2 linked regions of the Daphnia pulex genome follow. Each later gene encodes a partner of the first gene's protein in a complex. Links are inferred from orthologs where the notes say so. Each region holds a gene or a part of one and is shown in the gene's direction. Other genes may lie near its edges.

Region 1 (4,052 bases):
TTTTAATTAGATTTAAATTTTTAAAAGATAGAAGATTAGAAATGACCTGTTTAGCTGTTATTCGTGATTGGGGGCAATAGCGAAGAAATTGTTCCAGCATCGTTCGTGATGATTCGTCTACATCAATCAGGATTTTCTTAAAGGAGATTTGTTTCCGAGTTTTGGTAAATGAAATTTTGTGGAAATCTGGCAATGCTGATACACCTGGCCAATTTTCTTCGTCTGGAGTGCCTAGTACTATGTAATTACCCACAAAAGAGTTAATGCCATTCACCTTGATTATGATTACCGTATTGTTAATGACCTTGAATGACTGTGCACAGTTGGCCAATGTCATTTTCTCCCTAGGGTTTGATGGAAATCCGGATACTGTTACAACATATTATATTGACAACATTGGCCATTATTTACCGGAAAAAGGGGAGAATTCTTCAACATTTCACCAAAGATACAGCCCATAGCCCATAGGTCGACTTCCGGTCCTGTTGTGAAAAAGGTGTTAGAATTAACATGGCATTTTTAAATTAAAATGAAACTTGCCATAGTTGCGAGAACCATAGAGCAGTTCCGGTGCTCTGTACCACCGCGAAGCCACCTGATGTGTGAATAATCTTTGAGCCTTTTCGGAATGATTGAACGTACGACACAATCCGAAATCGGTCACTTTCAGTTCGCCTCGGGAACCAATCAGCAAATTGGCCGGCTTCAAATCCCGATGCATAATACCCAAACTATGAATATATTCCACAGCGCTGGCTAGCATCCACATGTCTAAATGGAAAGGATTGCATATTGGTTATTTGAATGCCTAAAATCTGATTGTAGAGATGTAAATATGGTACAGCTTTTCACGTGACTCGTCGGCAAAGGTTTGGAGTTGGAGCGCAAAAATTCGTAGAGATCTATTGGTAAATATTCAAAGACCAACACAAGCGAATATCCTTGTGGGAAATAGTCCACTAGGTTCACTACATATTCATGGCGGATCAGGCGAAGAGCCAGCAATTCACGAACAGCCGAGTTCGGCAATCCCTGCTCGTTAATGTTCTTCAACGCTATCCGTTTCATGGCGACCAGTTTCATTGTGGACTTGTCAATACCTTTAAGAACGATCCCGTGTGCCCCTTCCCCAATCCTGCCGTTCACAATATATCTTTCCATGAGATCGTTTAAAAAAACTAATCGCAACAAATATTTTTAAACAACAAATTGGTTGCCTTGACTACGCGCCATCTATTGGTAACCATTATCGACACGTGAAAAGGAAAATTAGTCTGCTAGAAATTTGAAGAAGAACAAGTGGCAAGCAACTTTATGTGCATGTTGTTGTAAACTTTCTCGTACAAAAATGAAGTAAATCCCGCACTTTTGTCAATTCAGAGACCACATTTAATTTATTTACATGTTCATAGATTAAATGTTGATGGACTCCTCGTCTACTTCCCTTACGATTACATATACCCGGAGCAGTTTTCATACATGCTCGAACTGAAACATGCTCTCGATGCAAAAGTATGTTGTATCGTCCAATACTAGTATAACTTGAAATTACATAAATATCTGTTGATGTTGGATCAATTCAGGGTCACTGTTTATTGGAAATGCCTTCTGGAACGGGGAAGACAACAACATTGCTATCATTAATTGTGGCCTACATGAAGGCTCACCCCCTTGATTTAACCAAACTAGTCTACTGTTCAAGAACTGTTCCTGAAATTGAAAAGGTTATGGAAGAATTGCGAAAATTAATGAATTACTACGAAAAAGAGATGGGCATGGAACAAAACATTCTTGGCTTGGCACTTAGCTCCAGAAAGAATCTCTGCATTCACCCCTCAGTAATATGAATTAAATAGTAAAAAGATTTAAAAGTATGGTTAATCAACAACACAATTACATAACAGGTCAGTAAGGAGAGAGAAGGAAAAGTAGTCGACGGGCGCTGTTACGGTCTCACGGCATCGTTTGTAAGAGCTCGTCATGCAGGTGATGACGCTGTGCCAGTATGCAACTTTTATGAAGGATTCGATGCTCATGGAAAAGAATTTCCGCTGCCTCCTGGGGTGTACAACCTGGACGATTTAAAGGAATATGGACAGGCCAAAGGATGGTGTCCTTATTTTCTTGCCCGATACACCGTTAGATCATGACATTTATAAAATATTGTACAACCAAATTAATACCAAATTTAAATTATAGATAACTCACGCCAACATTGTGGTGTACAGCTATCATTACTTACTTGATCCCAAGATTGCAGAAGTCGTTTCCAAGGAAATTTCAAAAACTAGCGTCGTTGTCTTTGATGAAGCCCACAATATTGGTAATTTTACTGAAACGTAACCTCTTAAAATTGCCCTACTAATTAAATATTGGTTTTTCTAGATAATGTCTGTATAGATTCGATGAGCGTCAAGATAACGAAACGTCTGCTGGATAAATGCTCCAATAGCATTCAAATTCTGGAAACCACCATTTCAAAGTAATCACAACTGGATGTGCATGATTAATTTCAGAGTTGTTAACTTTTTTAACTCTTTAGCATGAAAGAAAATGACAACAGAAGGTTGGAGAAGGAATACCAAAGGCTAGTTGAAGGATTGCGAGATGCTAACATAGCGAGAGAAACTGACATGGCTTTAGTTAACCCGGTTTTACCTTCTGAAATTTTAGAAGGTCTGTATTTATTCACAAGTATCCGTTCGGGCCATTTTAACATTTCTTTCATTTATAGAGGCCGTCCCTGGAACGATCCGTACTGCTGAGCACTTCGTGGCCTTTTTGAAGCGAGTAGTAGAGTACATCAAAACTCGACTCCGCGTCCAGCACGTCGTTCAAGAGAGTCCCGCCGGTTTCTTGAGAGATATTCACATTAAAGTGTGTATCGATAGGAAACCTCTAAGGTATATAAAAATACAGTTTCACACGCACAAATTATTATTTTACCTATTTTGTTGATAAACTTTCCAGATTCACCGCAGAGCGTTTATCTTCACTCATTCGCACTCTTGAAATATCCGACCTGACGGATTTCTCACCTCTTGTAACCGTTTCTCACTTTGCTACATTGGTCTCGACATATACTAAAGGGTTAATATCTTTATTTACAGTGATAAAATGGTGAAAAAATATCTAAAAGTAATTTACTATTTTAGATTCACCATCATCATTGAACCGTTTGAAGATCGGGCACCTACAGTTTCCAACCCAATTTTATATTTCAGGTATGTGAATATAGAACACGCAAAGACCAACAGTGATTAATGCTAGTACATTTTACAGCTGTTTAGATTCATCTATTGCCATCAAACCAGTTTTCAATCGTTTCCAAACTGTCGTCATCACCTCAGGAACCCTTTCACCGCTTGATATGTATCCGAAAATCCTCGACTTCCATCCAGTCATAATGACCTCATTTACTATGACTTTGGCGAGACCCTGTATTCTGCCAATGGTAGTAGATGCCTCATTTTTCATAAATGTTAACGTAACACTAAAATTCTTATTTTAAGTATAGATCGTATCGAAAGGTAACGACCAGGTCGCCATGTCATCGCGATACGAAACTCGTGAGGACACCGCCGTTATTCGCAACTACGGAAATTTGTTGGTTGAAGTAGCGGCCGCTGTACCCGATGGGATTGTTTGCTTCTTCACCAGCTACCTATACCTGGAAACAATTGTGTCGTCTTGGTACGATCAGGGCATTATCGATCAATTGCAAAGACACAAGCTCCTCTTTATCGAAACCCAAGACGCAGCAGAAACGAGTTTGGCGCTGATTAACTACATCAAAGTACGTTTCGTTTCTAAAAGTAATTAATTCCTCTAGTCTAAAGATTTTCGTTTAATCTGAATCGATCTGTTTAATCGAGTGAAGGCTTGTGATAATGGACGAGGAGCTGTACTACTTTCAGTCGCACGGGGTAAAGTCTCTGAAGGAATTGATTTTGACCACCATCTTGGACGGTATGAAAAATAATAGGAAAACAAAAGATTCTGACTATATTGACCATTTCTTTTACCGATTCATGTAGCGCCGTGTTAATGTT
Region 2 (3,826 bases), on another chromosome or scaffold:
AACAAAAAAAATCAAATTAAGGGAGGCCAGCGCTGATATAAGTTTTTTCAAACAAAATAAAAAGCCGAATTTTTAAAAATTTTAATTTTGATTCATATATTTCTTTCATTGGGGCCTGATAAGATTTTTTTTTAAAGATGATAGTAATCTTTTTGTACATATTTTTTCTTTTCCTCTTATATAATAACCCTCGGTTCCAGAAATATTGTGCGCTAATTAGAATAATATTGAGTGGCCGTTCTCTCATCCTCCCCCTTATACCAGTTCCTCCAACTTTATATCTCTATGGCTTTACGTGTGTGTTTAGCATTTCCTTCGAGAAGCCCCCCAGGTAGACACCTATAAACTAAGTATATCGAATGGCAAGGATTTAGCAGCTCCTACTCTCTACCTTTGCCCCAATCGTCCCTCCTCAGCTCAGTCCTTAATATTACATGGCTTTTGACGCGTTTGATGACATAATCTTTGGTTTTTGTATTTTAAAAAGTCAAAGTTTACTGGTGTGTTGGGGGGGGGGGAATATACAGCGGGGGATGTACAATGTTCAAATTACTTTTGATCCCTCGACTCTGTTCGCTTTCCTTTTTTATTCTACGATGAAAATTGATCCCGTTTCGTAGATTTTGAATGATAATTTGAATTCAAAAACTGGACGGCAAGAAACGATATGATTACCTTCGAGTATTGGTTTCCTTCATTTTTCTTTTTCAAGTGAAAAAGAACCGACGTCGATGTGCATAATGCATACAATTTGCATACGGTATTGAAAAAAACAAACAGATACTCATTTGGTATAAATTTAGATTTTTCTTTCTTTTTTTTGAGAAAGAGAGATTGCGGAATTTTGCATTATCCTTACGTAACCTTGGGTTTTTTTAAATTTATGTACATGTCAAAAAATTTCTTTTTTTATGTTTCCTTATATTTCCCACACTTCCGGCTGTACACCACATTTTGATAAAAATAACTTTGGGTTCTCATCATTTAATTATTATGATATGCGTGTAGTTTTTATTTTTTCATTTTTTTTATTTTAATATCATTAGCTGTGTAATATTTCCGTGATGCCAAACATACAACTGTCATCTAGAATGAGATTTTTATTCGTTGATTGAAAAAAAAAAAATTCTTTCTAAACAGTTAACCGCGTTTAGCCAAAGTTTCTTCCAGATTGGGACCCGCGCAATTGGAATGTCGTAATATTGGGTGACGTGTCATCAGATCCTCAATCCATCATGGCGAACTTCCTGTACTTCCTTCGATACCGGTAACTTTTTGGACCTTGGATCGGACGATTCGTTTGACGCCATTTCGTCGCACCTGAACCGAAAAGAATTTCACAAGTTAAAAATCTGAAGAAAGCCAAGTTATGATATCTAAATATAAACAATAACTATTTCAACACTGTATTCAAAAAGTGAATTGCACTTCAAAATAAATATGAACAGTCTGGTGAGTCAATTTACGTTGGTTAAGCCGTTAAAAGCGGCGCACATTCTGATGCGCGATAGGAGAGGAAAACAAAACATGGTTTATATTTCCCAATATTTAGTCGAAACAATTTCTAAATAATGGAAACGGTGTATCGAATTCTTTCATCAAAAAATAAATCTACAAACCAATAATACGCAATCAACATCTTCAACATTAAACTTCCAAAATTTTAGAAAAAATTTCAATTTTTAGAAAAATGAAATTTTCCCGCACAGCCTTCGTAATACCTGCCATCTGGTGACAGAATAAGGAGGTTCTTGTACACGACTCATTGTTTGGGCTAGCTTGTTGCAGACTTGCAGAAGGAAGCGAGAGTCGAAACGAGAAGCCGGCAAGTAATTATTCTTAACGTTTGTTGTTTTGAATAATACAACTTACTTAAGAATGCCCTACGCCAATCAACCAAATCTCAAATTGACCGAACTAACAGAGGAAAATGTTAAATTTCAGATTTCAGACACAGACCTTAGGTATTTACTTAAATTGTTGGTAATGAGAACATTTATATCATGCCTTTATCACATTTCAGTGTAGCAAACTCTCTGAGGCGAGTCTTCATTGCTGAAACCCCTACATTAGCCATTGATTGGGTCCAGTTTGAAGCAAATTCCACTGTCTTGTTTGATGAATTTTTGGCACATCGTGTGGGTCTTATTCCACTGACTAGTGATGACTCTGTTGAAAAGATGCAGTATTCCAGAGACTGCACTTGTCCAGATTTCTGTGTTGATTGCTCAGTGGAGTTCACTTTGGATGTTAAATGTTCTGAGGATGTTACACGCAATGTCACCACTGCTGATCTAAAGAGTACTGATCCAAGAGTGGTTCCAGCTACCTCCAAACGGGATGAAGAGCCACCAGATGACAATGATAATGGTACTGCAGAACATTTCTAAAGTTTGGAATCTGAGTTTGATTATAAATTTTTTTGTTTGTTTTAGAAATTTTAATTGTCAAGCTTCGTAAAGGACAAGAACTCAAAATGCGGGCATATGCCAAGAAAGGTAAATTTTGTTGCAGTTCAATTTGTTTCTCCTTCTTGAAAATATATATTTTTTTTTAGGTTTTGGTAAAGAACATGCAAAATGGAATCCAACAGCTGGAGTGGCCTTTGAGTACGACCCTGATAATTCATTGAGGCATACTTTGTTCCCGAAACCTGAAGAATGGCCAAGGAGTGAATATTCGGAGCTGGGCGAATCAGATCAACGTAATTTTTAAACGAATTTTTATGGTTTAACTAGTTTTATTTGAATTTTTATTTATTTATTTTTAGATGAAGCCCCATACGATCCTGATGGCAAACCTAACAAATTTTTTGTTAACGTGGAATCTTGTGGATCTTTACGACCAGAAAATATTGTCTTAATGGGAATCGCTATTCTCAAGAAGAAACTTTCTGATTTGCAGACCCAATTGAGCCACGAAGTGCAAAACGATGCCCTCGCCATCAACTGATTTTCCATTTTGTTCGAAATAATTGTAATGGTTTTGTATTAATGCAATTAATACACGAAGAATTAAGTAAAGCCGAATATCATCAAACTTATTTAATTTGTCTTATAAGATCTCAGGTGGACATGGAGTAAAAAAGGAACTTATGTAGCACAGCAAAATATGGTGAATATGAAAAATACATTGGTGATCTATAATACTGCAAGAATTCTAGTGAAGCCAAAACAAGCACTGCAGAATGTTTGTCCCACACCCCAAAGTGCAACATGCCATCTAGCCATGACTAGTCCTGAGTTTTCATACACAAATGACACAACTGCGCTTGTCACTGCACCTGTTGTTAGAGGTGTGATAATTCCCATCAAAAGAATTATGATGGAGTAAAACCTATTGCCAAAAGATTATATTTAGTTGTAACAGAATATGTGGAATGCTTAGGTATATTTTACCTTCCAACTGCATGCTTCCTTAATGTCAGAAATGCAATTATGGCAGCAACGGAATGAATGAAGATGGAAGAAAACATTGCCCACAAGAAAACGTTGTACCACATTTCTAGATGTATTGGGCATTGAATATTTTTATTATAGGTAACATGTTTCCTCTAAATTTAATATGTGGGTGAAAAAAAAATAATACCAAAGAACTCTTCAAGAGGAGCATTTGGTTTGTTCCAGATTTTTTCGAGGATGAAATCCATGTTAGAACTAGTTGACTGCGAGCCATCAGCAGATATTGGTGTTTGAATCATAGTGAGCTGCATTTTGCTATGCAGTGTTATCGCTCAGAACGATATCTGTCGCAGTGTTGTAAATCAGTTTGCTAATAGCAAGATAAAGAATAATTGATGGATGATAGCTTACAACGGAGCACGCGT

The links. Proteins that work in one complex are often made in the same cells at the same time.
Region 2: general transcription and DNA repair factor IIH helicase subunit XPD-like (region 1) and DNA-directed RNA polymerase II subunit RPB3-like share a complex: the UniProt entries of both Homo sapiens proteins name them as parts of the TBP-based Pol II pre-initiation complex. The link is inferred for Daphnia pulex from reciprocal best matches to the Homo sapiens genes ERCC2 and POLR2C.

What each region holds. Positions count from the first base shown.
Region 1 is NC_060017.1:8,164,247-8,168,298, forward strand, and holds the start of general transcription and DNA repair factor IIH helicase subunit XPD-like, read left to right. Parts: upstream 1-1,252; 5' UTR 1,253-1,348; coding exon 1,349-1,353; intron 1,354-1,412; coding exon 1,413-1,512; intron 1,513-1,583; coding exon 1,584-1,838; intron 1,839-1,904; coding exon 1,905-2,138; intron 2,139-2,199; coding exon 2,200-2,323; intron 2,324-2,385; coding exon 2,386-2,482; intron 2,483-2,542; coding exon 2,543-2,676; intron 2,677-2,734; coding exon 2,735-2,903; intron 2,904-2,970; coding exon 2,971-3,090; intron 3,091-3,155; coding exon 3,156-3,224; intron 3,225-3,282; coding exon 3,283-3,454; intron 3,455-3,517; coding exon 3,518-3,796; intron 3,797-3,880; coding exon 3,881-3,969; intron 3,970-4,037; coding exon 4,038-4,052. Other genes in the region: cyclin-dependent kinase 20-like, read right to left, coding at 47-237, 305-344, 412-482, 541-771, 843-1,161. UniProt on the Homo sapiens protein: ATP-dependent 5'-3' DNA helicase. Component of the general transcription and DNA repair factor IIH (TFIIH) core complex, not absolutely essential for minimal transcription in vitro.
Region 2 is NC_060024.1:10,723,536-10,727,361, reverse strand, and holds DNA-directed RNA polymerase II subunit RPB3-like, read left to right. Parts: upstream 1-1,771; 5' UTR 1,772-1,878; coding exon 1,879-1,964; intron 1,965-2,023; coding exon 2,024-2,370; intron 2,371-2,435; coding exon 2,436-2,498; intron 2,499-2,557; coding exon 2,558-2,704; intron 2,705-2,770; coding exon 2,771-2,952; 3' UTR 2,953-3,023; downstream 3,024-3,826. Other genes in the region: transmembrane protein 170A-like, read right to left, coding at 3,141-3,336, 3,399-3,504, 3,589-3,712. UniProt on the Homo sapiens protein: Core component of RNA polymerase II (Pol II), a DNA-dependent RNA polymerase which synthesizes mRNA precursors and many functional non-coding RNAs using the four ribonucleoside triphosphates as substrates.